7 linked regions of the Mus musculus genome follow. The protein of the gene in region 1 interacts with the protein of each later gene in a biochemical or structural test. Links are inferred from orthologs where the notes say so. Each region holds a gene or a part of one and is shown in the gene's direction. Other genes may lie near its edges. The genes, in order: Ubc, Mindy3, Ccdc50, Mindy2, Usp13, Ubl7 and Otub1.

Evidence for each region.
Region 2: the proteins of Ubc (region 1) and Mindy3 form a complex in vitro, tested with the Homo sapiens proteins (2 studies listed by BioGRID). The link is inferred for Mus musculus from reciprocal best matches to the Homo sapiens genes UBC and MINDY3.
Region 3: the proteins of Ubc (region 1) and Ccdc50 form a complex in vitro, tested with the Homo sapiens proteins (5 studies listed by BioGRID). The link is inferred for Mus musculus from reciprocal best matches to the Homo sapiens genes UBC and CCDC50.
Region 4: the proteins of Ubc (region 1) and Mindy2 form a complex in vitro, tested with the Homo sapiens proteins (5 studies listed by BioGRID, with this or other methods). The link is inferred for Mus musculus from reciprocal best matches to the Homo sapiens genes UBC and MINDY2.
Region 5: the proteins of Ubc (region 1) and Usp13 form a complex in vitro, tested with the Homo sapiens proteins (9 studies listed by BioGRID, with this or other methods). The link is inferred for Mus musculus from reciprocal best matches to the Homo sapiens genes UBC and USP13.
Region 6: the proteins of Ubc (region 1) and Ubl7 form a complex in vitro, tested with the Homo sapiens proteins (6 studies listed by BioGRID, with this or other methods). The link is inferred for Mus musculus from reciprocal best matches to the Homo sapiens genes UBC and UBL7.
Region 7: of the proteins of Ubc (region 1) and Otub1, one has a biochemical effect on the other in vitro, tested with the Homo sapiens proteins (29 studies listed by BioGRID, with this or other methods). The link is inferred for Mus musculus from reciprocal best matches to the Homo sapiens genes UBC and OTUB1.

Annotation. Positions count from the first base shown.
Region 1 is NC_000071.6:125,387,218-125,391,298, reverse strand, and holds the start of Ubc (polyubiquitin-C), read left to right. Parts: upstream 1-1,281; 5' UTR 1,282-1,389; intron 1,390-3,034; 5' UTR 3,035-3,037; coding exon 3,038-4,081.
Region 2 is NC_000068.7:12,402,461-12,405,960, reverse strand, and holds part of Mindy3 (ubiquitin carboxyl-terminal hydrolase MINDY-3), read left to right. Parts: intron 1-40; coding exon 41-101; intron 102-1,792; coding exon 1,793-1,963; intron 1,964-3,500. UniProt on the Homo sapiens protein: Hydrolase that can remove 'Lys-48'-linked conjugated ubiquitin from proteins.
Region 3 is NC_000082.6:27,387,456-27,391,755, forward strand, and holds the start of Ccdc50 (coiled-coil domain-containing protein 50), read left to right. Parts: upstream 1-1,500; 5' UTR 1,501-1,633; coding exon 1,634-1,682; intron 1,683-2,451; exon of another isoform or gene 2,452-2,520; coding exon of another isoform or gene 2,521-2,533; intron 2,534-4,300.
Region 4 is NC_000075.6:70,654,375-70,658,626, reverse strand, and holds the start of Mindy2 (ubiquitin carboxyl-terminal hydrolase MINDY-2), read left to right. Parts: upstream 1-1,452; 5' UTR 1,453-1,580; coding exon 1,581-2,354; intron 2,355-4,252. UniProt on the Homo sapiens protein: Hydrolase that can remove 'Lys-48'-linked conjugated ubiquitin from proteins. Binds to polyubiquitin chains of different linkage types, including 'Lys-6', 'Lys-11', 'Lys-29', 'Lys-33', 'Lys-48' and 'Lys-63'.
Region 5 is NC_000069.6:32,911,626-32,915,125, forward strand, and holds part of Usp13 (ubiquitin carboxyl-terminal hydrolase 13), read left to right. Parts: coding exon 1-36; intron 37-2,473; coding exon 2,474-2,596; exon of another isoform or gene 2,597-2,846; intron 2,847-3,255; exon of another isoform or gene 3,256-3,362; coding exon 3,363-3,389; intron 3,390-3,500. UniProt on the Homo sapiens protein: Deubiquitinase that mediates deubiquitination of target proteins such as BECN1, MITF, SKP2 and USP10 and is involved in various processes such as autophagy, endoplasmic reticulum-associated degradation (ERAD), cell cycle progression or DNA damage response.
Region 6 is NC_000075.6:57,909,777-57,913,785, forward strand, and holds the start of Ubl7 (ubiquitin-like protein 7), read left to right. Parts: upstream 1-1,209; 5' UTR 1,210-1,283; exon of another isoform or gene 1,284-1,506; intron 1,507-1,933; exon of another isoform or gene 1,934-2,049; intron 2,050-2,861; 5' UTR 2,862-2,890; coding exon 2,891-3,074; intron 3,075-4,009.
Region 7 is NC_000085.6:7,203,485-7,207,590, reverse strand, and holds the start of Otub1 (ubiquitin thioesterase OTUB1), read left to right. Parts: upstream 1-1,306; 5' UTR 1,307-1,331; coding exon 1,332-1,389; intron 1,390-3,139; coding exon 3,140-3,201; intron 3,202-3,434; coding exon 3,435-3,533; intron 3,534-4,106. UniProt on the Homo sapiens protein: Hydrolase that can specifically remove 'Lys-48'-linked conjugated ubiquitin from proteins and plays an important regulatory role at the level of protein turnover by preventing degradation.

The DNA of each region.
Region 1 (4,081 bases):
CCATCTAAGTGTGTGCCACATGTATGTGAAAGTGTCCCTAGGGACATTGGACCCTCCTGAAGCTGGAGTCACAAGCTAGCTGCCTGACAGGGTTGCTGGGTATTGAATTCATGTACTCTGGAAAAAGACCTGTTCCTACTGGGGAGCCATCTCTCCCCATCAGGGATTCAATTCTTACCTTCTAAGGTCTTAGGCCTTACATTTCAAAAACCTGAGCTGGGCAGTGGTGGCGCAGGCCTTTAATCCCAGCACTTTGGAGGCAGAGGCAGGTGGATTTCTGAGTTCGGGGCCAGCCTGGTCTACAAAGTGAGTTCCAGGACAGTCAGGGCTACACAGAGAAACCCTGTCTCAAAAAACCAAAAAAAAAAAAACAAAACAAAACAAAACAAAAAAAACCCTGAATAATTTGATTCGTATAAGTGGGATATATGCTTGCTGTAATCTGAACATTGTACTACACGTGCACATTTGTGCTTTTTTGTTTTTGTGGGGGTTTTTTGTTTGGTTTTTGGTTTTTCAAGTCAAGTGTAGCCCTGGCCATTCTGGAACTTGATCTGTAGACCATACTTGGGAGGCAGAGGCAGGAGGACCTATATAAACTTGAGACCAGCCTGGTCTACATAGCATATTCCAGGACAGGCAGGGCTACACAGAGAAACCCCCATCTGAACAACAAAAATTTAAAAATCAGGGCTTCAGTGGGTTCAGTCTCAGAATATGAACAACAAATATGAACAACATTTGGAAATTTTGACCTTTACTTAGTGACAAGCACATAGAAAACATAGAACCTTCTCGAATCCAAGGACACAAGGTTTAGGAAAAATCTGGAAAGATCAGGTTCTGCTGGGCTTCAGATCTAATGCCAACAGTTTTCAAGAACTGTGTAGACTGTCTGCTTTCCTTGACAAACTCAGATTCGTTTTTCCAAATCGGGGAGAGATTCCCTCCTTCGTATTTTTTTTTTTTAAATTTATTAAAAACCCTTTGTCATTTTCCTTGTTAGGAGATTTGCACAGTCATCCACCCTGTCACTGTGCCAAAACAGTGAGGGCTGGGCATAGTGACCCGCCGGGGATGAGGGGATTGAGGAGGCGAGGTCACCAATGGGATCCCAGTGTGACAGGAGCCAAAGCCCTGGGTCCCCCTAGCGCGGAAAGAAAACAGGGGGGGTGGGGGGTGGTGGCCTGACTAGGGGCGCCAGGCCGCGAAGCCGCAGGGCGCCTGCGCCAAGGCCCGCTCCGGCCTCAGTGATCCCAGCCGTGTTTTCGTGCCGATCGTCTCACGCGCGCTGATCCCTCCGCGGAGTCGCCCGAGGTCACAGCCCTGCCCTCCCACACAAAGCCCCTCAATCTCTGGACGCCACCGTGAAACAACTCCGTGAGAGAGGTACCTTGATAGTTTTAGCCTGTCGCTTTCGCTGCCGAGACTGGACCCGGCGTTACAAAGTAGTCCCTGACCGCATTGCCCGCGGAGGGACCGCGCGGAAGGGGGGGGGCGGGGCTTCGGTGACTATATAAAGAGACGCCGGGCGTGCCGCAGCTAGTTCCGTGGAGACTGCGAGTTCCGTCTGCTGTGTGAGGACTGCCGCCACCACCGCTGGTGAGGAGAAAGCCGCCGCACCCGGTCGGGGACGGGAGGCTGGAGGCGAGACGGGGCGAGAGGCAGCCCCGCGGCCCAGACGTTTGGTTTCCGTGGCCCGCGCGGACCGCGGCTGCCCCGAGGCAGAGGACTGGGCGGCAAGATGGCGGCCAGATGGAAGCCTGAGGGGGAAGACGCGGGGCTCTGACGCGCAGGACGAGGTTGGGGGAGGAAAAAGGCCCGCGAGGCCGCTGCCCTCCGGTTAAGCCGGGGACGTCGGAGACTGTGGGGTGGGGACTGAATTAGGGTTGCGCGCCGTAGGAGCCTCTGCTGTGAGAGCCGTGGATATTGGGCTGGCCCGAGAGGTCGATTGGCCCGGCGTTCGTCCGTTCGTTTGCTGAAAGACGGAAGTGCGATCGAGACCGGAAGGGGGTTGGGCGGCGGTTCAGCCTGCCTGGCCTGCCGCCCCCTGTGACGTCGCGGGTTGCGTGGCCTCCTAATGGATAGTGACGTCACTATCTTGACTTTAGCTTTCCCTCGGTTGTAGGACAGGGTTTGGGTCTCGGCCTCCGGTAGCCTCTCCAGAGTAAACAGGAACCGGAAATTCAGAGGGGAAATGTGAGCCATTCTTGTCCTGTTTCGTTTTAAGAATGTCGCTGTACAACTATGACTACTGAAACTTTTGGGGGGGGGGTTCGAGACGGTTTCTCTATGTAGTCCTGGCTGTCCCGCATCTCACTCTGTAGATCAGGCTGGCCTCGAACCCAGAAATCCTCCTGCCTCTGCCTCCCAAGTGTTGGGACGAAAGGCACCACCATTGTCCTGCGACAAGGGTGTTTTTTTTTAAACTGTCAAAATCTCTGCCTCTACCACCCCATGTGATGAGGTCCAAGGCCAGTACCACCACTCCAGACTAATTTTAATCGTTCAGACAAAAGTTTGGTGTTCTTTTGGGGGAAGGAGAGTTGAGGCAGGATTACACTGTCTCTGGCTGACCTTCCAGTTAGAGATCTGCCCACCTCAGTGTCCCCAGTGCTGAGGTCAGCGATAGGCATGGGCTCAGACTTAGTTTTGCAGTAGTAACTTGCTATATTACCATTCTGAAACTGAATCCGGGACTGCTGTGGTTTCATAACCTCCCAGAGGTCAGGCTTTTCTGCAAACTGTTCAAATAGACAGAAATTGACTTTCAGCTGTTGGTATACTGAAGTCTCCATCCTGTAAATTTGGTAATACAAAAAGACTCACCATGCCGAGGTTTCTTAACTTTGTTAGTCAACAATCTTATTTTCTTGATGGTTTTTCGGGGTGGGGGGATTGGATTCAAGACAGAATCTGTGTAGATAGACCTTGCTATTTAGACTTATAGCATCCAGTTGACAAATGTTGATGCCATCCCACAAATATTTGTGTCATTCCTGACCTGTGAATTGTTTTGTATATTTTGTGACAGACGATGCAGATCTTTGTGAAAACCTTAACTGGTAAGACCATCACCCTGGAGGTCGAGCCCAGTGACACCATTGAGAATGTCAAGGCAAAGATCCAGGACAAGGAGGGCATCCCCCCTGACCAGCAGAGGCTGATCTTTGCAGGCAAGCAGCTGGAAGATGGCCGCACCCTGTCAGACTACAACATCCAGAAAGAGTCCACCCTGCACCTGGTCCTTCGCCTCAGAGGTGGCATGCAGATCTTTGTGAAGACCCTGACAGGCAAGACCATCACCCTGGAGGTCGAGCCCAGTGACACCATAGAGAATGTCAAGGCAAAGATCCAGGACAAGGAGGGCATCCCCCCTGACCAGCAGAGGCTGATCTTTGCAGGCAAGCAGCTGGAAGATGGCCGCACCCTGTCAGACTACAACATCCAGAAAGAGTCCACCCTGCACCTGGTCCTTCGCCTCAGAGGTGGGATGCAGATCTTTGTGAAGACCCTGACAGGCAAGACCATCACCCTGGAGGTCGAGCCCAGTGACACCATAGAGAATGTCAAGGCAAAGATCCAGGACAAGGAGGGCATCCCCCCTGACCAGCAGAGGCTGATCTTTGCAGGCAAGCAGCTGGAAGATGGCCGCACCCTGTCAGACTACAACATCCAGAAAGAGTCCACCCTGCACCTGGTCCTTCGCCTCAGAGGTGGCATGCAGATCTTTGTGAAGACCCTGACAGGCAAGACCATCACCCTGGAGGTCGAGCCCAGTGACACCATTGAGAATGTCAAGGCAAAGATCCAGGACAAGGAGGGCATCCCCCCTGACCAGCAGAGGCTGATCTTTGCAGGCAAGCAGCTGGAAGATGGCCGCACCCTGTCAGACTACAACATCCAGAAAGAGTCCACCCTGCACTTAGTCCTTCGCCTCAGAGGTGGGATGCAGATCTTTGTGAAGACCCTGACAGGCAAAACCATCACCCTGGAGGTCGAGCCCAGTGACACCATTGAGAATGTCAAGGCAAAGATCCAGGACAAGGAGGGCATCCCCCCTGACCAGCAGAGGCTGATC
Region 2 (3,500 bases), on another chromosome or scaffold:
GACTACCATGCATTCTAACTGTCGCTTTAATTGTGTAAAGGCGTTTCTTTTGAAGAAGCTTCTGTTCTCCTCCGAGAAGTCGTCCTGGCGGGATTGCTCAGGTATGCTAGCTGCCTTCAAACTCTCTCCTCCCTCCGGCTTCTCTTTTACACCTCATCTAAGTCACACTTATTGCTAGTAATTCATTTTCTTAAAAGTCTGTCTTCACTGGGGAACAATTGATGGAATATTATTTCTCAGATGTTTCAAAAAGTTTAATAAAACAGACTTTGTTTTAAAATGTTCTTTTTCAGATTTTTCTTAATAAGGGACAGAAGACAGAGTATTATAGTAATAAGGCCTCTTGCTTAAATGGCTGTTTCTCTTAACCTTTAGATGATTATATATCCATAATTAAAACCTCTTTGCTCTGGTGTTTGTGTGACAGGAACTCACTATATAACAAGGCTAGCCTGGCACGCACTGTGTAGGCCAGGCTAGCCCCAGCCTTGCGATCCTTCTAGTTTAACTACTTGTTGCTAGGATTACCTTCTGCACCACCATGCCTGTGTGTTGCTGGTGGCTTCCTACCCCATCCCTCCTGTTTTCTTTTTTTGCCTTATTGAGTTGTGATGAAGAGCTCAGCATTCTTGTTTTACTCTTTTATCTTTTATTATAATGCATTATTAAATGGGAACACTGAAAGTTTGCAGAATAAACTATCAGAGTTTCTGCAGCTTGAGTAATACTGATACGGGATGCCACCTGATGACAAACATTTGCATTCCACTTGGCAGTTTACAAAGACCTTCCTCAGTTGCAGAATTCCTTGTGAGCCTCACAGTCACTTCTAGAAGAAGGCAGGAGATTACAGTGCCAGCTTTGTGTGTAAGAACATAATAGCTTTCCTTCTAACCCATGACCATAGAATCTCCTCAAGATTCTGAACTGAGGAGTTAACGGAATTCTGGTCATATATTTAGTATGAATATCTAATTCACGAGTTCAGTAAAGAAACTTTGAGAGTCTATTATCACCATGACTTTTAATTGCTGAAAACATTTCTTCCTCAAAAATACAGTCTCTTTGACAAATTTGAAAAACATTCTCATAAGGTCATGAAGGCTGTGATGTCAAGTGACTGGAACCATTGCTGACTGTAACATGTGATGTAGGATGTGTTACACTAGTTTCATTTGGAAGTGTGAGTGTGATAGTGCACTGGAAAGCGGGCACTGCTTGAAAGAGGGCGGAGGGCTGCCCAGGTTCTGGAGGAAATGGCCTTGTTTGTGCCTTTGAAAAGAGCACCAGTGCTCGGCATACTGTGGAGTGGTGTAAGGCTCCTGCTTTATGCAGCATAGAGGTGGTTGCTTCTGCTCAGTAATGGCCTGTGGTTTGTGTGCTGATGGTGTCTTGTCGCCTTGCTGTTATTCCTGTAAGCTGGTCAGGCGGAATTCAGCAGATGAGGAGAACAGGTCCCGGGGGCCCTGTTGCTCCTTTCTTTGGACTCTGCAGTAGAGGGAGCTGAGTGCTGAGTGCTGAAGGTGAGATGATGATTTCTCATGATGTTAATTAAGTTCTGCACTTTTCAGTCTTCTTCTAACTGGTGCCAGGATTTAAGGTGATAACATTTTAATCTTTAGGCACATTGTTCTTCTAAAGAGTAATTTCCAGTCTTCTGGTCATATGGGTTTTCCTTATTCTCAGAAAACACTTGATTTTCATTATTAAGCCGAGGCCTTCTTACTGTTTCTCATGACTCGATTTTCTTTTCCAGACAAAGCATTGTAACTCATACTTTGGTTATTTTTAGAGGAAGAGCAGAAGGAGCTCCTTTGTCACACCTTGTGTGATATTGTAGAGAGTGCTTATGACAGCTCTGGATCATACTGCTTGGTTTCATGGTTGAGAGGAAGGACCCCCGAGGAAGCGGCTAGGATTTCTGGGAGTCCTGCACAGTCTAGTTGCCAAGTGGAACATTCTTGTAAGATACGTTTTTATTTCATGAAGTAATTTCTTGTTCTTTTGTTTTAATAAATCTATTGAAAATTTTGAAGAAAAAATATTTTATGTTTTGATAACACTTTCTCTAAGTTAATATTTTCTATCTCTTTTCCATTATTTTATTTAGTGTAAGACAGTGCATTTTTACAAAAGGAGTTACATCTGTCTCTTAAGCATTTTAAAAATAATTGTAGCTAACTTCTGCTTGATGAAATCTTTTAGTATTACAACTTTGATTTTAAAAGTCTGTGGGAAATACATCTGCATGCAGTAGTTCAGGTGCACAGTGTTCTTTAGATGAGAGGAGCTTTCTCACCATCAATGCTTAAATATCCTCAGCTCTGTTTTAGAACAACAGTGGAGATATTTTCTTAATTAAACACTGTTATTTTGTTCCTGATCCTTTTGAACATTGTTATATATTTGGACTAAAGTAGTTTTAGTTTCGTTTTACTTATGTTTTAAGTTCTCCACATCTTGACTGCAGTTTCTTTATTTTAAATAATACAAATAATACCTACTCTCATTCATAAAAATTACACACTTGAACATTCTTAAAAGTGGCCTAAACACTGCCAAAATGAACGAGTAAATTAACGACTTCTGGTGGTAGGGAAAATAGAAGGAGTTGCTCTTTGGTTTGCTTTGGAGGACTAATCTTGCTAGTTAGGTGACTTTGGGGAATTATTAGTTCCCAAGTGTACTTTATTCCATATATACTGGAACATACTCACTACCTTCTATATCAAATTGATTCTGTAAAAGACAGATACTAGGCATTAGGAAGTAAATATTGATTGTGTGTGTTATGTATCACTATCCATATAGAACTGTCTACTGACAGTGTTGCCTCCCCTGAGCTGAAATGTCTGTGTTCACTGTCCATTTTTTCCCCTTCCTCTACAATTAGAACAGCTTGTGCTTGGCAAATTTTAATAACACATTTGCCAGAAATAATTTTAAAAATTTAAACAGTTGTGTAGTGTTTCTTTTCAGACCTTTAAAATATTGCCTTTCGAAAAGAATTCATTTTGGAATTGATAATGACATTTAAAGACAAATGGAAGCTATTCAAAAGAATGATAATAAAGCATCATTTAGACTCATTTTTAAATGTTTGTAAATTGTACTGTGTGGCTTGTAAGCATGCTATTAACTCCTTTTGAGATACTACATATTGAGAAAGGGACACTTAAACCATTCAAAGTGTTTACACTCATTTAGCATTTTACATTCGTGTTATATTTAGCATTACCTTAGCACATGCATACCATATGCTTACTCTGGAGTGGTGGTGCATTTCTGTGCTAACACGTTGGCAAGCTCTAGGAGGAAGGGCGTCATAGCACACTGTTAGCTATGTGGGCATGATAGATTGAGCCCTCCTCCAAAACAAAGTGATGTAGGATTTTCTAGTTTACTTAGTGCCTCATTTTAAAAATACACATGACATAAAACCATACTTGAAATATGTTTTTAACTTCATATATAGTTAAAACATTTTATTAACTGAGAAT
Region 3 (4,300 bases), on another chromosome or scaffold:
CCATATATGGCAGGACATTTATAAATACCCCTAAAGCCACTTTGCTATACCTTCCTTCTTCACACTTTGTTTATGGAGTGCTCTCTATCTCTGACAGGGCTGTGCAAAATTTTCTTGTAAGGGTTTGATAGTACTTTAGATTTTGGGCTTAAAAGGCAAAATTTAAATGACTCATATTAAAAATAATTTAAAATGTAATATTTAAACAAATACAGTCACGGGGTTTCAGCGGGCTGGGTTTGGCCTGTGGGTAGCAGCTTGCCAACTTCTGATCTAATTTTTGCTCTCATTTACATCTTAGTTTTTGCTAACCAATTTTAGTGTCAAGTTAAAAATCATACCACTTCCTCCTGACCTCTCACACTAGGAGTCTGAGCTGAGATGGGAAGCCAGTTTAAGCCAGTGGCTGAAGTGACACGTTGAACTTTGACAAGATGTTGGGCTGACATTCCAGAGTTCAATGATCCTGCCAACAAGCTTAACTCTGAGGAGGAACTGTGCTTTGCTACTGTGTTTCCATCAGAAACTGCCCTCTTCTCCGCCTTCTCCTATCTTTGCTTATCTTCAGTTTAGTTTCATTGTCTGCTAGTGAGAGTGGCCGCCCACTCAGGAAACAGATACTAATTTGCTACTCTACCCTTTATGTAGCAAGCCTAGGGAGGTATTCTGCTCCACCGGTTTTGATCTCACACCCATTCTTTGATAAATATGCATGGTTTGTGGACTAATGGACTGAAAGATAAGATTAGTGAAAACCCAGTTTAGGACTGGAATGTTTCCTTTAGGGGAAGAGACAGTTCCTAAAGGAGCATGAATCTGTACTGATCCATAGGATGAAACGCGAAAAGTCGCTCATTTCAGAGAAACACAAATGTCAGAATTATAGACCAGTGAGTGGCATGCTGGAAGGGGAAGCCCATACAAGTCTCTGTCACAATCCCTCCACCCCCGAAACTGAACATCCGATCTGGTAGACATTTATAGTTTTTTGTTGATTGAGTGACTCAGTTCTCCCTGCTGGTTGTGAATATTCCGTTTCCAGAAGGGCCCAGAATTTAATTCAGTGTCTTGTATTCTGGTTTCTTTAAAAACAAAAAAACAAAACAAAAAAAGAAATATAAAGCACACACACACACACACACACACACACACACACACACACACATGTATGTATGTATGTATGTATGTATGTATGTATGTATGTATGTTTGTAAGTATGTATGTATATGCCCACTAATCCCAGATATAAGGATTTGTGGTGCCTGGCACTCAATAAGCACTTTACACAAGTCTTAAATCTCAGAGTGGAGCGCAGATAGGCTCTGTCCCGGCGGCGCCTAGCTGGCAGGTGCAGCCTTGGGGTCCCGGCCTTCAGGCCGCAGAGCTGTGGCCTGGGCTGGGCGCGGCAGGCACATAGGCGAGGGGAGGCGGTCTGGCTCGCACGCCTCTGCGTGCGGTGCAGCCTTGCAGCCCCCGCCCCCCGCCGCCGCCGCCGCCGCCTTTCTGGCACCTCTCTCCCTCCGTACTGGACTCCGGTGCATTTCCGGCCCGGGAGAGTCCGGCGTCCACCCGGGCCAGCCCGCGGGGTGGGCGTGCGCCGTGATCTCCGCGCGCCCGAGGCCCAGCGGCCGCCATGGCCGACGTGAGTGTAGATCAGTCCAAGTTGCCGGGCGTGAAGGAAGGTAGGTCGGGACTCGCGGGCTCCGGGGAGCCGGGCTGCGCGGGGCACGCGGCGCGGGGCGGGCTAGGAGCGCCGCGGGCTGGCTCGGTCCGCCAGCGGCTGCGGGAGGCCCTCGCCTGGCCGCGCGGCCTTGTTCTGCCCTGTGGACGCTTGATGTAGAAATCCCAGCCCTTCCAGGCTGGCCCAGGCCAGGGGGTGGCGTTCCGAGTGGAGTGGAGCCTTTGTTTTGAAACATGACCCTCTCCCTCCTCTTCTCCTTCTGTTCCTCTCTTCTCCCTCCTTCTTTTCTTTTCTATCCTCTACCTCCCTCCTCCTTTCTTTCCCTCCTCTCTCCCTTCCTCCCTTCTCCCACTTCTTCTTCCTAGTCTAGTGTCTGGCTGGCTCTTAGCTTCAAAAATGTTGAAAATCTTAGGGTTGGCATTGCTTTGAATGGTGGACCTCAAGCCCCTATAAAGATGATCTCCCCACTTCCATTTTAATAAAGACCAGGCTGGAGTGGGTGGGAGCTTGTGATCCTGTTACCCCCGTTGCCCCCCATGGCTGCTATATTGAAGTCCAGGAAAATAAGATTGACTAGTACTGGCCAGGCCTAGCTTACTTCATCTCTCCTCCCCTCCCCGGGGCCTAGCATTTTTATTGTTTTGGTTACTGGCTCATCTTCTTGTCACTCTGTCTTTCCCTTCTTGGGAAGCACTGGACTTCCATTATGACAACACCTAGAACGTTCAAGAGTGCTCTCTCTTAAAGCCATAAGTTCTGAGGGGGGTGGGGGGGGGGTCTTTGTTGTGGATCTCTTTTGTTTCACCAGAGATCTGTGGCCAACACGGTCTGGGACTGGGATGTGTGTGTTGTGTAAGTGAAGGAGTTTTTCCTTTCTTGAGACTTTAGGCTTCATTGCCAATTTCAAGTGACTCAGATGGTCTCGCTCTGGCCAATTTGGAAATCCCAAGACAATTAGTGACTACTTGGCTGCATCTGTCCTAGGGTTTCAGAGAAGCACCGTGGCTAGGAGTCAATGATTTTATGTTTAAATTGTAGTAGGTTTGGATCTACTCCATTGTTTCTAAAGAGTAATAATGCCTTCAGGCTGAGCTTTTGGTCTTGGTATTTTTCCATCGTTTCTGTCCCTAACTTGACTTTGGTTATTACAGTTTTTAGTTAATGGAGTCTAAGGAGCCACTGGGAAGACATATCGGTTCTTCACCTGGAGGCCAGCTGTAGAGCTCCCCTCTTGCTTTTGGATATGGGTTTTGTGCGCAAAGGTGTTGGTTTTGTCTGAAGACAAAGTGCTCCCTTGGTAGTACTTTCATTGATGGTGGGTGTTGCTGATACTGGAGTTCAAACAAAACCTGACCTGAGGTGCAAAGCTTCAGTGTTGAGGTGCTGTGACTTCCCCAGCCTTCCACCTGTGCTAGTGACCTGGAAAGAACTTTTTTGTGTACGCTTTGAAACCCTGAGGTCTTTTCATTTTTTTTTTTTTTTTAACCGAGACATGCCTAACTTGTGCTAATATCTTATTTCTCAAGGAGTTCCCCACTTTCCATCTAGGCCTGCAAGAGTCTTTTTCACCCCCCAGCTCTACAAGTTTTCCTATGTTTACTTTGGTTTTCATTCTGGATATTGTGGTGCCGTGCTTGGCAATCCTGTCTAGGGACTCCGATGAGATGACAGGGACATTTAGTGTGGCTCTTCCATGTGTCTTTGTTAAATTTAGAATTTGTCACATGCTCACTTTGAAGGAGGTCAAAAGCTGTTGGGATCATCGTCCTTACCAGTGCCTGGCTCTGAGACCATCAAAGGCCATGATGGGTTTACTAGGAGAGTCCCCAGAGTGGCGAGAATTTGATCTGGGAAGTATTCAAGCCTAATAACTTGCATCTCTCTCATATAATTTTAAATTATGGCCCAGTTACCACCTAACAATCTTTCCTCTAATTAAAGAGAACCGGAAGATACCAGTGAAGAAGCAGAGCGTGTTCTGACACTGAGTAGTCCTGAAGCCCTCAGCTAAGTCCAAGCAACTTAGCAGCACTTTGTTTAAAGTTTTGGCTCAGATATTTGAGCCTCATTAAAAACGCAAACACTACTTCTTGTGTTTTCCACTTTTCTTCTGAATTTAAACTTTGGTAGATTTCTGCAGGTTACAGTTGACATCATGGGGTAGATTATAACAGAGACTGAGAAGAATGGGGCTGTGTGTCCTGTCTCACTGCCCTGTCTTTAAGAGAGGGAAGGCTGCTTTGATATTTGGTGTATCAAAAACAGATGGCAGGGAACAGGACTACTTCACAGTCTTCTTCCCTAGGTTAACATGAAATGCTTGCCTCTTTGGTTTGTATGGAGGGCAGAGCTTCATTGAGAAGACCCTTCAAACATACACAATTAAGAAGTGTATACTTTCGAAAATAACAAATTTGGAGACAACAAAACTGAGTTTATACAAGTGAAAAGAGTTTAAATGTCATTTAAATGCCATTTAAATGTCAGTACACCCCTATTTCCTAATCAAAATATGTTTGGAACCTCCATATATTTTTTGTAAAGGAAATAGTTATTTTCTCTATCAGTCTCCACACCCCCCCCCCCTTTTCATTTCACAATTCTCCAAGTCTTGTTTTG
Region 4 (4,252 bases), on another chromosome or scaffold:
ACTCTGTCTCAAAAAACAAAAGTGAAATAAGATAAGCAAAGTAGTAGAGGGCTCTGTAGAGTGTTTGTCATACATGAATTGAGCCCCAGCCCTAAAAAAAAAAAAAAAAAAAAAAAAAAAAAAAAAAAAAGGAAAGGGGGGGGAAGAAAAGAAAGGAAGGGAGGAGAGAGTTGGAGGTGGGAAGAAAGAGGGAGAAGTCGAAGAGAGTGCCGAGAAAGAGATCATCATTTCTGAGAAGATAATAGTGATATTTTTAGTGTGAAACACAGTATTCAGTAACATGCTTGGTGCTAACACATGAATGAGCAAAATAATGCATTAATTTGTCTACTTTTCTAACCAGTAGCAGGACAGAAGTGTAACAATCCATGATGCACCATATATTTGTATACCTGATACTAAAGGAAGACCCACCTGTCTTGTTCATTTTTATATTCTCAGACAACTTTGAAGAGGGAAGGGTCCAGGAAAAAAAAAAAAAACAAAAAAAACAAAAAACCAAAAAACAAAAAAACCAAAAAAAAAAAAAAAAAAACACCCCACTTTTCCAGAGCAGGTTAGATGATCTATATCCACTCTTGCCAATAAATAAGTAAGTAAATAAATAGAAAAAAAAAGTTGCAGGCAACTCTGTCCATCCTCTATGCAGATGTCAAGCCCTGATGAGAAGTCAATTCTAATTTTAAAAGTCATTTTTTCGGGAAGCAGAAGCTTCCCACTCTGTGCAAAGAGAAGCCAAGTGAACAGAACCGCAAAGACTTGGCTTGCTTCAAACGCAAACTGATTTATTATTATTGGACCAAATTTACCCTCTCGCCTGGGGCGTAGGCCAATATCCACAACCTCATTGAACCTCCGGCAAGGCAAACCAGTAGCTGGTTGGGAGCGCAGCGATTCTCAGCCAAAACCCAGGGAGAGTTGTCCCTGTACTGCGCAGTCTTCCAAAAGCCTCCAACAGAACTCGCCTTTCAAATTTGCATTTCCTAAGAAATGCTTCCAATTCTCAACATTAAAAGCTAAAAAAAAAAAAAAAGAAAAGAAAAAGCCAGCTCTCCCGAGGCCTTCAGGGAATGGCTGTCTTCCAATGCTACTACCACTTTCGGGGTCCACCAGGCTCAAGCCCAAAGTAGACCACACTCCCTACAAGCCTCAGCCACTGCCTTTAAAGTAACCGCGCGCAGCGGGGATGCCCCGGAGTTCAACTTCCGGCAGCACACACAAGATTATTTTCCTAGTGGCGCTGCGGCTCTCCGAGCCGCGCCCCTGACCACGCCCTCAGCCACGCCCCTGGCCTCGCTCTGCCTTCCCTAGCCTGAACGCGCGGGAGGGGCGTGGCCTCGGGGGAGAAGCGCTCCCCGAGTGGGTCCGGGCGCTTCAACGAGCGCAGTCACGCGGAGGCACGCTCCGAGCGGGCGGGCGGGGGCACGCGCGCGCGCTCCCGCCGCCCTCTACGGTGACGTGCCTGGCCGAGGCCGCGCTAGGGCGCTGGAGCTGCTACAGAGCGGCTGTCATGGCGTCGGAGGCGCTTGCTGAGGAGAGCCGGCCGCGGTGTCTATAGGACCAGGGGCGGGCGGCCGGGGATGGAGAACAGCCCTGACAGCCCACAGCCTCTGGAACTAGGGGTGGCGGCCGGGCGAGTGTCGCCGCCGGAAGGGCGACGGCGCGGCGGGCGCGAGGCTGAGGATGGTCCCGCTGGACGCGCGGTGGACAGCGGCGGGCAGGGGGCGGCGGCGGCGGCAGCGCGGAGCAGCCTCGGGGACCCGACGTCCCCCTCGCAGCTCGGATGCGGCGCGGGCTCGGACTTGAAGGACGGCGCGTCGTCGAGCCCTGCCGCCTCGGAGGTGCCTTCAAGAGGGCAGCACAAGGTGACCGCCTCCCCGGAGCTGGCCGAGGCCGCGGCGGGCCGAGGGTCGGGGCCAGTGGGCGACACGGGCACCTGCAGGGTGGAGCAGGCGGCGGAAGAGCCCAGCAGCACCGGCGCCCCGAGCAGCAGCTGCAGCGAGCCGAGCCCCCCTGGGGACTCGCCCAGCTTGGACTCCCTGGAGTCTTTCTCCAACCTGCATTCTTTCCCCAGTAGCTCTGAGTTCAATAGTGAGGAGGGAGCAGAGACCAGGGTCCCCGAGGACGTGGAGGAGGGCGCGGCGGGGCCGCCCAGGGCTGCACCTCTATGCAAAGAGGAGGAGGAGGACCCGGCTCAGGTGCTAGCGGCCTCCAAAGAACGCTTTCCCGGACAGTCGGTGTATCACATCAAATGGATCCAGTGGAAAGAGGAGAACACGCCCATCATCACCCAGAATGAGAATGGACCCTGCCCTTTGCTGGCCATCCTCAATGTTTTGCTTCTCGCCTGGAAGGTACACTCTGCAGCTTTCTACTTCCTACAGCTTGTGGGGTGGGGAGGGGCAAAATGGGGTGAGGAAACTGCTGTTTGTCAGCTGATGGCTTCCTTCCATTCATCAGACTCCTCCTTTTTTTTTTTTTTTTTTTTTGAGACAAGGTTTGTCTGTGTAGCTTAAACTGTCCTCGAACAGTTTAAGATCTTAATGCTACAGCCTCTAGAGTGCTAGGTTTACAGACATGCACCCCTATATCTAACAGTCTCTTATTACATGAAATTAATTCCAGGATTTCTTTATTGAAAGATTATTCATGTGGCAACATGTCAGGAAGAATTGCCCCCAACTTAAGGTCTTTTTTGTATTAAAAATTCAACATTCGGTTAAAGGTTGTAACTGATGGTTTACCTATAAACAAGCAGAATCCAGAGCACCCTGCACTTACATCTTCTGAGTATTTTTAGCTATATTTGCCTATATTATTCCTTACTGACATTATTACATATGCAAAACAGTGAAAATTGGAAACAGTGATTGATCTTCAGTTACTATCAATCTTATATTATGGAGTAAGTTTTAATGATTTTATCTGCGTGTTTTCTGGAAAAGGCTGTTTGTCCCACTGTGGTGTGGATGCATGAAAGAACAGTGATGGGAAAGATACAACTTTTTAGACAAATTCCATTTAAGGAAAAGCATTGGTCTGAGCCTACTTACCATAAATTACTTGTTTCCAAAGACAGTATTTTCATCTTGTGTATGATTTTTTGTTTTTGTTTTTACTTTCCTTGTTTCTTTGACTCTACTTCAAAGGTTTGGCATTTTTACTAGTAACTGTACATTAGAATGTTTGTTAAGGAAGCTAAAACTATTAACAACTAAAATAAGGAATGATAAATCTAAGGTCTTGGAGAACAGGAAGGGAAGGGCAAGTGTATTGAGGCCTCAGAATATAGTGTCATATTTAAGCTTGCAGTATCTGGGTTTTGAGAGGATGCATCTCAGCACCTGTTTTCAAATTGATGATTCCACTTATAGTTAAAATGCTCCCTAGAAGAAGAATAGTTTGAATTATGCTAACCAGTTATGAAGAACTATGATGGATAGTGAGGGAGAGATTCCAACACCAAATCTTGCAGCACTAAGTTGGGTATCCGGGGCTCCTGATGGAATCATCTGGGTTCCAGTCATCTGGATTAGTCTGTTAAGAAGTAAGCATGCATGCTAATGAGTTGGAAGATTATTTTGATTAACCTCTGCTTAAAGCATTCGAGGGCTTTTCTAGCAGAGAGTTCCAAACTTTTCCACATTCTTCCCACAAACCAGTTCAAGATGTCTAAGAGTTACATTGTCAGGTTTATCATTGCAAAGGCTCCATTCCTGAGTACCAGTTTTCTGGCATAGTTACTTTTCTCAGTGCTGTAACAAAATACCTGACAAAAGCAACTTAAGGTAGGGTTTATTTTCGCTCACAGTTTGAGGGTACAGACCATTAGTCGGGGAAGCCATGGAAGCTGGCACTTGAGACCACTGGTCACATTGCATTCATAGTCAGGGAGCAGAGAGACGACTGCTCAGTTTGATTCCTCCTTTTTATTTAGTCCAAGCCTGCAGCCCATGGAATGGTGCCACCCACATTCACAGTAGGCGGAGCAGTCACCATGGCCTGGATTACTTTGAGGATATATGAGCCTTGAATTGACTCTGAAAGGCAGATCCCAATTGTGTGACCACATGTTTGGGTTCTGGCTTTGTGGAAGACATTATACATGCAAAGACAGTAGAGTGCATCAGCCCTTCAGTAGCTCAGTATATGGTAAAGAGGCAGACATAAGGAGTAATTGTAGAGCGACATGAACAGGGCTCATAGTCTAAGGAAGTAAAAAATTATGTGGTGGTTGGGGGGGGGGCTGGGG
Region 5 (3,500 bases), on another chromosome or scaffold:
TCACTTTTGGTCTTGACTGGGTTCCCAGAAAATTTGGTAGGTATCCTTTGCATGCTTTCGCTTAAACTATAGAGTGAGCCACCTAACCAGACATGGCATGTGAAAGAGGCTGTGGGAACGTCTGCCCCGTCCCTTCCACCCCATTGTTTCCTCTGTTACTCCCAGGTTTCTCTGGACCCAGAATCTAGGAGAAACACTACCATAAGAAACACCATATGCTAACCACACCCTCACCACTGAGCTCTGGGAGGATCAGGTTCTCAGAGGGGAAGTACACTCCTTGCGACAGCGCATCTCAGAAGTTACTGTGCACACAGGTCACCTGGGATCTTTGGAAAATGCAGATCCTGATTGGCAGGTGTAGGTGGGCTGAGCGACCATGTTTCTAACCTACCGCATGGTGTTGGCATTGACAGTCCAGACGCCACACTTGTAGTAGTAGGTAGCTGGAGGTATAACTTCCTCTTAGCACCCTTCCCTGCCTCTGAGATACAGCAGTACTATATGTATGTGATATTCATCTAAATCATACACATTTTCCTCCCAACCACTTGGAAACATTGGATTTGGACAGTTGATAGAAGGATGTGGTTTGGGCTTCACTGGCTGCCTTTTCATCAATACTCAAGGTCCTTGGTCAGTGTGGGAGGCCCATTTTCCAGATAAGGCATAAAGACCATTTCCTTAGCCACCAGGGTTGAATGTGAGCAGTCTTAAGTGACCTCCAGGCTTGTGCAAGGATTTGCATCTCACTCCGTGTAGCTTCTCTAGCAAGGACTTCAAACTGCCAGTCTCTTACAGACTTGTTTTTGGGCACTTACACAACAAAACGATGAAAGCCTTAAGAGTCATCCAAACACGGGTAGAAGGGGACCTGGAGACAGAAGGAAGAACAGCCAGCATGATTTCTGAGGAGGCCTGGTGCTGGTGGGCACAGAGTGCCAGTTTATCACCCTTTGTGCTGAGCTATTCCCAGTGCCCAGGAGACCCTTGATTTTCTTGCTGGGAGAGTTTAGGGAGCAGAGGGGGTCTGAGGGCAGGGTGCTGACCACTCTGTTCTCCACTGGCCTCTGAGAAGGTTGAGATACTTGAGAATTTTGACCCATTCAGGCTTTGGATTGCTGTGGACGGGGTTTTTGGTTTGTTTGTTTGCTTGCTTTTCCTTTTGAATTTTTGTGAAGGAACAAAAAGGAAGCCGGATTTTATTGACCAAGGTTTAAAGGAATCTCAAGGTAGGGCCTGGATTTTTCTCTTAAGGAACAGTTGTGTCCGTTTTGTGAATCTGACCTTGTGTTTAGTTTTACTGGTCCTTAAAATTTAACTCTTCTGTCTTAGCTTTTGTTCTTGGGTTATTGTTTCATTTATTTGTTTAGTTGTTTTTTTTTTTTTTTTTTTGAGACAGGATCTTATGTAGCCAAGGGTAGCCTTGAATTCACCTGTGCAGATGAGGGTAGCCTTGAACTTCTGATCTTCCTGCTTCCATTTCCCAAGTTCTATGTTTACAGGCATGTGCTACCATGCCCAACCTGCCTTGTTGTCTTAAATAGGATTTACATATTTGGCGTCATTTGGAGGCAGTTGGTCTCCAGGTCTGAAGGACAAAGCTAAGTTGTACTTAGACTCATTTCTATTCCTAGTTGCATAGGTTGCAGCACTGCCTTGCAGCAGCTGTTAGGCTTATAAATCTTGCATTTGAGCAAGTCGAATGTAGTGGCAACTGAGGCATGAGGGCTTTATTTTTCTCCCAGAGCAGCCACGGATGCTTAAGACACTTAAGGTTCAGCCAGGTTCTTTTGAGCTTTGTGATTTATAACTTAGCATCATCACAGTCACTGTCACCATTCGAGAAAAAGTATCAATTAGGATTTTCGAACTCAGATGTGCAAGGAAGGGGAAGCAGCACCCAGGAAAGGAGAGCTGCTGGGTAAAGGGTACACGAGCCACCCTCTCGGAGGGTTCCGCTGTGCCTTACGACATGGGTTAGGAAGATGTGCTTTTCCATAAGCATGCTGTTCATGTTTGGGGCAGTTCAGAGCAGTGGCATCAGTGTGAAATGGTCACAGCAGCCACCATTGTCCAGAACGGAAGCTGAGGGGAAGCTCAGACAGTTAACACAGGAGAATGTGCTATAGCTTTGTGGTATTTGAAATCCAGAAGTCTGCATTTTAACATTAAATCTGTCCATATCTCAAGAACACCAAATGGAATGAGTCTGGGCCACAGATAGCCTGGGCTGCCGGTCTGTGATCTCTGGCTCACCTGACCTGTTGCTGTCCAGTCTGGCACCTCTGTCCCACCACTCTCTGCCCTTCCCCTGAGCCCTCCAATAACCTCCCATGTGGCTTGACAAGTCTGCTGTGCTGAGTGTCCCGTAGGCTGGCTACATACATGCATGCAGTGAGCACAAGCAGATTTATAATGATCTGACCGAGGGCGCGGGAGAGTCCAGTGAATATGATCTTTTGTTTTGCAGATGTTTCTATTGATATGCCAGACCTACTAGATATCAGCCATCTCAGAGCCAGGGGCTTGCAGCCAGGGGAAGAGGAGCTTCCTGACATCAGCCCCCCCATAGTCATTCCTGATGACTCAAAAGGTACCATCGCCTACTGCAGTGGTTCTCAACCTGTGGGTCGCGACCCTTGGTGGTGGGGGCGTTGAATGACCCTTTCACAGGGATCACATGTCATATATCCTGCACATCAGATATTTACATTGCAATTCATGGCAGTAGCAAAATTGCAGTTGTGGAGTAGCAACGAGAATAGTTTTGTCGTTGGGGGGGTCACCACAAGAGGGTCATAGCATCAAGAAGGTTGAGAACCACTGCCCAGTTGGAAGGACACTCTCTCCTCCACCAGCCTGGAACAGTCACTGTGTTTTGCCACCAATCTGCTTCCCGTGAGGTCATCCTAGACACATAGGAATGAAACCTGGCTGCCACTGTGAACTTGAGACACGTACACTCTGTGACGACGTCACTGATTTGGAGTCCTGTCGGCAGGTGGTTCCAGAGGGGGCTTGCAGACAGGCGATACTGAGCGTGAGAGAAGGCCAAGGTGGTTTTCCACACTGCTCCTATCAATAAAGCTCAGGCAGAACCCTTGATTTGCAGTTAGACAGTGCTCTTACAAATACATGCAAGGATCGTAATTATTTAGCTCACCGAGCTGTCAGAACTTCCTGTTTTATTTGCATCTAAGTGCCCAAAGCCTGCTGTTTCCCCTCATTATTGTAATGAACTGTGTTTTGCAGGTGGTGTGTGTGGGGTAACCAGGAGTGAGAGGGTCTGGGAATCTCTTATCTAAAACTGTTGGCCATGGTTAGCTCGCTCTCACTTTTGACTGTCCCTTCATTTCCAGACCGCTTGATGAACCAGTTGATAGACCGTAGGTATCTTTTAAAATGCTTTTTGTGTCTTACATCTGTTGCCAGTGTGCCATGTTTTAAAAACTTACATATATATGAGTGGCTTGCTGCATGTCTGTGCACTAGGTGAA
Region 6 (4,009 bases), on another chromosome or scaffold:
ACTCAGAAATCTGCCTGACTCTGCCTCCTGAGTGCTGGGCTTAAAGGCGTGCGCCACCACGCCCGGCAAGAATACAACTTTTACACTTGTGTACACAGTAGCTATTATGAACTTTTTTTAAAAAAAAGATTTATTTATGTATTTTATACACTGTCACTGTCTTCAGACACACCAGAAGAGGGCACCGGATCCCATTATAGATGGCTGTGAGTCACCACTTGGTTGCTGGAAATTGAACTCAGGACCTCTGGAAGAGCACTCAGTGCTCTTAACTGCTGAGCCTTCTCTCCAGCCTGAACTTTATCTTTTAAAATTACATTTTTTTATTAGTGTGTGTGTGTGGTCAGTTTTGGGGAGTCAGTTCAATCCTTTCACCATTTGTTCCCGGGGAGGTCCTCAGGTTTGAATGCAAGTGCTTTTACCTGCTGAGCCATCTCACCCGTCCCTCAGCTTCACAGTTTTAAAGTTGGTTGTTTTTGGTTATTGTTTTCCTTAATTGTGGAACTTTCTGAGAAAAATCACTTCTCTCTTGAGTTTAGCTAACTCTAACTTTTGTGTAAACTCAATCCAATTTGATTGTGCATTAGTTTCTCAGCCATCTAAAACAGGCAGTGTCTCCACGAAAGTTCAGTGGAAATTCCCCTCCCCAAACTGATTCTACGAATGACTGTGTTATAAACCCCATTGTTGCATGTTCGCGGTGGGCCAGAAACCCGACTTAATCACTCCCCTTACGGACTCAACTTTTAGCGCCCTGGTGCGCTGCCACAAGGCAGGTTTCCTGGGAGAAAGGAGCAAGAAGCACAAGAGGCTGGCTACGTGGGAGAACTGCGTCTTCATCGGAAGGGCCGCGGGGCGCCTGTCCACTTAGGAACCCGTCCCCCTCGGAGAAGGCTCGCCCTCCGGCCTAGGACTCCTCCAAACCCGGGACAACCAACAGGCTTCACATATATCCCTGGAGAGCGCGGGAATCATCGGGCTATTGGCTGCTTTCGAAAATTCCACACTGAGTCTCCCTACCTCAGGTGGTGGTACAATTGTGTCTGACAGAAAGCTACAACCTACTGGCTTCTAGGACCTCAAACTGCTCGTGCTCGCACTCACGCCTCCTAGGACCCGGAAGCATTGCCACTAGCTGCTGGACGGCCATTTATAAGGGGCTGGGTCTCAGTGAAAACTATAGTCCCCAGAATGCAGCGCGGAGCTTCCGGTTTCCGGCAAGAGGACCAGAGTGAGTGTTTACACCGGCGGCTCGCTGCGGCCGGGTTCCTTCCGCGGGACGGGTGAGGGCGCTGGGCCCCCTCCCTGGGCGCGCGGGGCTCTCGTGGGTCCGGAGTAGCTAACTGGTCCCACGAGAGAGGTGGGGTTGTCAACATTGTCCCTACTCACGACTAGGTATCTGTGACCTTGGGCCAAGAGACTTCAGCTTTCTGAGTCTTTATTCCTGATCTGTAAAATAAGGACAATGATGCCAGTTTCAGGAGACAGTTGTGAGGATTGAAATCGGTATACAAAAACCTCCTTTCTCGCTTTAAACCTAAAGGTGGATAGTACCTTGAAGTCCGCTGGGTCGCACCACAGTTTTTTCTTAGCCTTGTCTTTACTGCAAGAGACCTCTTTGGCAGAAATAGTGTCTGTAACAAGGACTGGTCTTGCGGTACAAGGCTCTTGCACCCTTTGAATTTTTAGATTTATTTTGTGGGCATTCATATATGTCAGGCTGGGGACTGTGTTAGAAAAGCTCTAGTCTTGGCTTTCAAGAATGGGGGGGGTTTCACAAATATGAGGGACGCAATGAGAAGTTGAGAAGTAAATAAGTTGTACAAGGGAAAAAGCAGCAAAGAGAAGGTAGCTTTCTAAGTCTGGCATCTGGTAATGAAGCTGGCTGACTTGTCCTCAAATCTATTGATTTGTGTTGCTCTTTTGCCTTGAGGGAACAGGGAATGTGTGACCAAGAAGAGAGCATGGAACCGATGTGTTTGTGTGGGTCTTGGTAGGAGTTTGCTAAGAGGCCAAAAAGGGAAGAGAACTTATATGCAAAGACAGGAGGTGAGCAGAGTTACATATAGGGGACAACTTTGTTATGAAGTATACTTACGTGTGTTGTTATAAAGGGGCAGGGCTGGGTCTATTGAAGAAAGCTGGTAGGCGTCAGAATAAATGGGTTTGTAATCTGGCTGTGGAGTTAACACCCACCTGTTCATAGAAGTGCTTTGGGATTAATGGGGGCCTTCTAAGCAGTTAAGTTTGTTAGATCTGTGTTTTAACAATAAGACATTGGGTGGTGCTATAGATCTCTGATAAGGGCAGGCAAGAGAGACAAGGGCCCTCCTTAAAGTGTTGTTATAGCTAAATCAAAAGCTGGAGAAGAAAACCAGAAATGAGTGTGTAGAAGGGAGAGGGTTGGGTGATCTTGCTTGAACCTCACAACATTCCTATCCAACTGATTGGCCTTTTGTGTTTACTTTTTTTTTTTTTTTCTTTTGTTTTTTTGAGACAGGGTTTCTCTGTGTAGCCCTGGCTGTCCTGGAACTCACTTTGTAGATCAGGCTGGCCTTGAACTCAGAAATCCTCCTGCCTCTGCCTCCCAAGTGCTGGGATTAAAGGCGTGTGCCACCAATGCCCGGCTTTTGTGTTTACTTTAAAGGTGAAGAAACTGAGGCATAAGAGAAATCCCTTGTAGTCCACCAGAGAAAGAATTAAGGGAGGGACACTAGGTTCTAGTTCTAGCCTCTTAGTGCTACACCTATGTTTCTCTAGCAGTAGTACACTGAAATGATCTTTCCTTTATTCTTGTTGCAGGGAGAGATGAGTAGGGAGGTGGGTTGACTTTTAACCGTTAATGCCTTATTGTTTTACAGGGAGAAAGAGAGAGCGCGAAAGAGAGAGGATGTCTCTCTCAGACTGGCATCTGGCAGTGAAGCTGGCTGACCAGCCACTTGCTCCAAAATCTATTCTTCAGTTGCCAGAGACAGAACTGGGAGAATATTCCCTAGGGGGCTATAGCATTTCATTTCTGAAGCAGCTTATTGCTGGCAAGCTCCAGGAATCTGTTCCAGACCCGGAGCTGATCGGTGAGTCTTCATTGGCAGGAGCTGGGTTGCTGCTCTTGCCCCTGGGACAGGAGGTAAAAGGGCTTGTTGCCTCCTTCCAGAGTAAGTTTTACATGAGTGAAAACATAAAACATGACAAAACTGTTGTTTGTCACTTTAGTCTCATGTTACACTGAACTACGTTATTATTTAAGACTCTTCATTATGATGTTGTTGAAGTCTTTTGTCTGATCGAACAAAATTAGCAAAGACTTGCAGATGAGACAAGACTCCTCAATCTGTCACCTAAGACTTAAGGGATAATTAGAAGGATGTTTTTGTTTGTCTTGATGGCTGAATAAAGGGAAGGCCGCAAAATAGGAAATGAGGTTGGCAATGTACTCCTAGTGGAGGAAGGAAGAGCTTTCGTAGAGAACAGTCAGATTAGATTAGGAGCGAAATGTACGCTAGCCAAGGGTTCTCCCTGGTGAAGACATTCCTATCACAGGTGATCAGCTCCATCCTCTTTTTTCGGTTTTTCGAGACAGGGTTTCTCTGTGCAGTCCTGGCTGTCCTGGAACTCACTCTGTCCAGGCTGGCCTCGAACTCAGAAATCCGCCTGCCTCTACATCCCAAGTGCCACCACTGCCCGGCAGCTCCATCCTTTTTGATGTTATATTTTTCACATTTATGTGGAATCACTACTCTCTACAGGGTTGAGCTTTAGAGGTGTACTGTGCATATACTTCTTAAATAAGCATTTGTACTTGATAAAGTTGTTTAAAATGTTGGGGTTTTGTTTGTTTCAAGACAGGGTCTCACTTTGTAGCCCTGGCTGGCCCAAACTCACCACTTATCTCTGCTTATTGAGTGCTGGGATAAAAAGTGTGTGCCAGCACACCTAGTCAAAATGTCTTTTATTTATTTATTTATTTATTTATTTGGTTTATTTATTTATTTATTGTTTTTTTCGAGAC
Region 7 (4,106 bases), on another chromosome or scaffold:
GTTTCTCTATGTAGTCTGTGAGTCTGAAACTCACTGTGTAGACCAGGCTGACCTCTACTCAGAGATCCACATGCCTCCCTAGTGCTGGAATTACCATGCCTAGTCTGTACTTGATTTTTCTAAAATTTTTTTGGTTTTTCAAGACAGGGTTTCTCTGTGTAGCCCTGGCTGTCCTGGAGCTCACTCTGTAGACCAGGCTGGCCTCGAACTCAGAAATCCTCCTGCCTCTGCCTCCCAAGTGCTGGGATTAAAGACATGGGTCACCACAGCCCGGCCTGATTTTTCTAAATCTTTAAGAGTGCTTTCCACCCTGGCCTCCAGTTACCTGGACTGGTAGACCGACCATACAGGAGCTGGAGTTGGGACTAGTAAGGACAGAGAACTGATATTCTGGAGGGTAAAAGGAATCTGTGTGGCTCAGTGATGGCTATAGCCAGGCTACCAAGAAGTAAATGCCTTTTCCTGCAAACGCTCTGGTGTTTGCTTTTCAGGGTACACAGGGCCTGCAAATGGGAATGTCCATTTCTCAGAATGGAGACATAACTCAAAGAAAATGGGTAGCTTCGGCAAAAATTAGCAAAGATGGCCACTTTTTGGCTCAGGTTTTGTTTGGTTTGGTCTGGTCTGTTTGAGACAGGGTCTCTTGTAGCCAAGCCTTGCCTGAAACTCCACGATTACCTTGAACGCCGGATCCTCCATTCTTTCTCCACCTTTCACATGTTCGGATTATGGACTCAAATTCTTGCTTTTAAGTGGCTCTGCTTTCTCAAATACGAGGACATATAGCCTAAAGTTAGGTCGAGGGTTTTGGTTTTGGTATCAAGGGAAGATGCTCCCCGTGCTGGAAACAGGTCTTTACAGCTTTAGAGAACAGGCTCAGTGGTGAGAGGCGAGAGGCCGCGAAGGCTCCGAAGGGCGTCAGGAGGTTGTCACCACTTCCTGTCTCGAGGTGGCTCTGCGCTCCGCACTGCAGCTACCGTCCTGTACCTTGAAAGTACGCGCAGCTGGGATTAACCTTCTAGTGACTTTAATTCCATCTTGTTCCTTATCTTAGTTACACAACCTGCGTTTCAAACTTCAGTATACAGAAAACAGAAATGACTCGAGGAGGTCCTTAGCCCCGCAGGACCTTTGGGAAAGTGGAATGTGGAAGCGCGCGTGGCGTCCCCCCAAGCTCTCCAGGGCAGCAGGAGCAGCCCAGGCCCTGACGACTGCCAAAGGGAGCCTGTTGCTAGGGGCGTTGCGAAGGAGGGGCCACAAGGAGGGGCTCCCTTCCGGGAGGAGGGCAATTAATAACCCGGAAGCGATCGCCAGTGCGGCGCTGTTTAAAGATGGCGGCGGAGGAACCTCAGCAGCAGAAGCAGGAGCCACTGGGTAGCGACTCCGAAGGTACGAACGGAGGGAAGGATGTCCTTCCCGGGCTAGCGGGGGCAATCCACGGCCCGCCGTTCCCGAGGAACTCGGGGAGTCAGGGCCCTGGGGAGTAGGCGCAGCGTGCGACCGAGCCCTTCCCCGCGTCTCCTCCCCTCCCCCTCACAATGGAAGCAGGGCCGCGGCGACCCCCGGCCGGGCGGGGCGGCCGGGGCCGGGGCTCGGCCTCTCGCGCACGCCTGGGGCGGGGCCTGGGCCGCCCCGCCTCCGCCGGTCCCGTGGCCTCGGCCGGCTCCCACAGTCAGCCCGCCGGAGACCTAGCAGTCAAGCCGAGGCCTAGGCCGGGGCCGAGCTGCTGAAAGGCGTTGAGGAACGCCGGGCTTCCAAGGACGAAGTCCCTGCTGGGCCGTTCGGGATGCCATTGGCGGCTCTTTGCCTTAGAGCTTGTGCTGGCCTTACAGCACCTTTGAGCGGATCCAGGCATTGTTTTCCTAGATTCTTGGTCTTTAAAAAAAGACAGAAACCAGTCACACCTTCTCCCTGTCTCCCGAGAACTTGAGCTCTAGGGGTTGAGTAAGTCTGTTGAGTGGGAGGGACAGTCCTGTTGTAGGACATGGTGGGAAGCTCAGCTGAGAACCTAGGATAACCAGGCCCCAAAGGATTGGCTTTAAAAAGCCAGTCATACTCGCACACCCTACTCTAACTCCACACTATATTCTAGAGGTTGAGGACTAGGAAACCCAGATACGCAGAAAGAAATTGTTCTCCATCACATCTAAGAAGGATCCAAGACTAGAAACTCCTACAATAGCTGCTTAGAGTCCTCAGAACGAACGTCCCGAATCCGTGGATGACTCTAGAGAGTGCTTAGGTAGTAGTTGCTGCTGGCAGGATCCCAGCATATTTTGATGATGGGAGCAAGGTGATGGCATTAATCCATTCTAGAGGTGAGGGGAGAGGACTTTGGCAAGTGACATGTCCAAGAGCTCAGACTGGAATTTTACAAATGTGGACTTGACCTTGGACAAGATGGAGTTACCTCTGGTTTTTGTTTTTTGTTTTTTAATTTGGAAAATGAACAATACAGGGGACCACAGAAGGACAAAGGGCGTGTCTCAGTAAAGTGCATGCTTACAGGATGCACTCATTCTTCCTAGGGCTCCACCCCTTCATCCTGCTTTCTCCCAGAGCTCCCTTCCCCAGAGCATTCCCTAGATGCTACACAGTGCTTTTAGAAGGCAGGGAGGAAGGAATATCGGGGCTGCAAGAGAGCTTTGGGGGTGATCTTTACTTGTCATTTTACTTATTTATTTATATTTATATTTACTTATTTCTTGAGGTTGCTAGGGCTTCACACCTGCAGGACAAATATATCTTTACCACTGGGTCTCAAGCCCAGCCCTATTTTTTTTTTCTTCCAAGATAAAGGCTTGCTATATTTCCAGAGCTGATCTCTAACTCCTAGGCTTCTTAATCCTGCTCTGGTCTGTAATTGCTCCCTTGTTTACTTTTATTTTTTTAGAGATTAGCTATATAGACTTGTGGTCTTCCTGCCTCAGCCTCCCAAATGACACCACACTTAGCTACTTTCTCCAAAAGATGAGGAAATGAGAACTCAAAGAAGGAAGAACTTTGCTAAGAATACACAGTGGGGTGTAAGGCATAGGGTTCCAGATTCCAGACCTGTTCTGCCAAAGCTGCCTGCCATAGAGATAGCCAGACCCCATAGGAACCCTTGGTTGGCACTTCTTTTTTCTCCTTTTTCTAGGTGTTAACTGTTTGGCCTATGATGAAGCCATTATGGCTCAGCAGGACCGAATTCAGCAAGAGGTGAGGTGCCGAAGAAAGTTGGGGAGGGAGTAGCTGAGGGCTTTGTGGTGGGGATGCATAGTCAGGGCCTGAGACCTAGTGTCTGTTTTGAAGCCCTCCCCTCTCGAGTCTCTCAAGTCTCTGAGTCTACTTTAGGCACTCTATGCTTTTGTGGGGTTGCTGTGCTGCTGGATGGCCACCACCCCGTTTGTAGGTGTTAGGCGTGGCTTCCTCAGTCTCCTGCCTCCCTGCAGATTGCTGTGCAGAATCCTCTGGTGTCAGAGCGGCTGGAACTCTCAGTCCTGTACAAGGAGTATGCTGAGGATGACAACATCTACCAACAGAAGATCAAGGTGGGATCCTGGCCAGAGGGGCAGGAGGGAGCCTGTTTCAGCCCTGCTTCTTGTCAGGCCTAATGTCTGAGAGGGTCGGGTGTTGGGCGGGGACACACCTCCTATTGCTAGTTCTTGAAGTGTGGCCTCTGGACTGAGACCTCATTCATATCAGATTACCACTCAGCAGCTGTCTTCTTGACAGGTCCTTCAGTGTCTCTGAGCCCTGGGTGTCCTCATCTGTAAAATAGGGACAGTGAAAGCATCTGCCTGTAGGGTGGCTGTAAGGTTGAGGTAGGTGATGCTCAGGTGGGACCAGGTGCAGGCTGGGCGGGCACTGACAACTCAGTAGCCTGCCAGGGGCCAAACTTGCTGGTGTTGGGATGGGTAGATTGGTCACAGAGACCTGTCCTGTAGTCTGTCTACTTTGATCTTTGCGGAGAACAGGCTTCTTCTGTGTGTCTCTGCTGCATCACTCAAACTGAGGCAAGCTTCTTTCCCAGTAAGCCCAAAAGCTGGGAGCAGCGGAGCTTGAACTGTGACCCTGGGATGAAACAGTATTTAGTAGGCAGCCTGAAGAGTTAAGAAATGGTG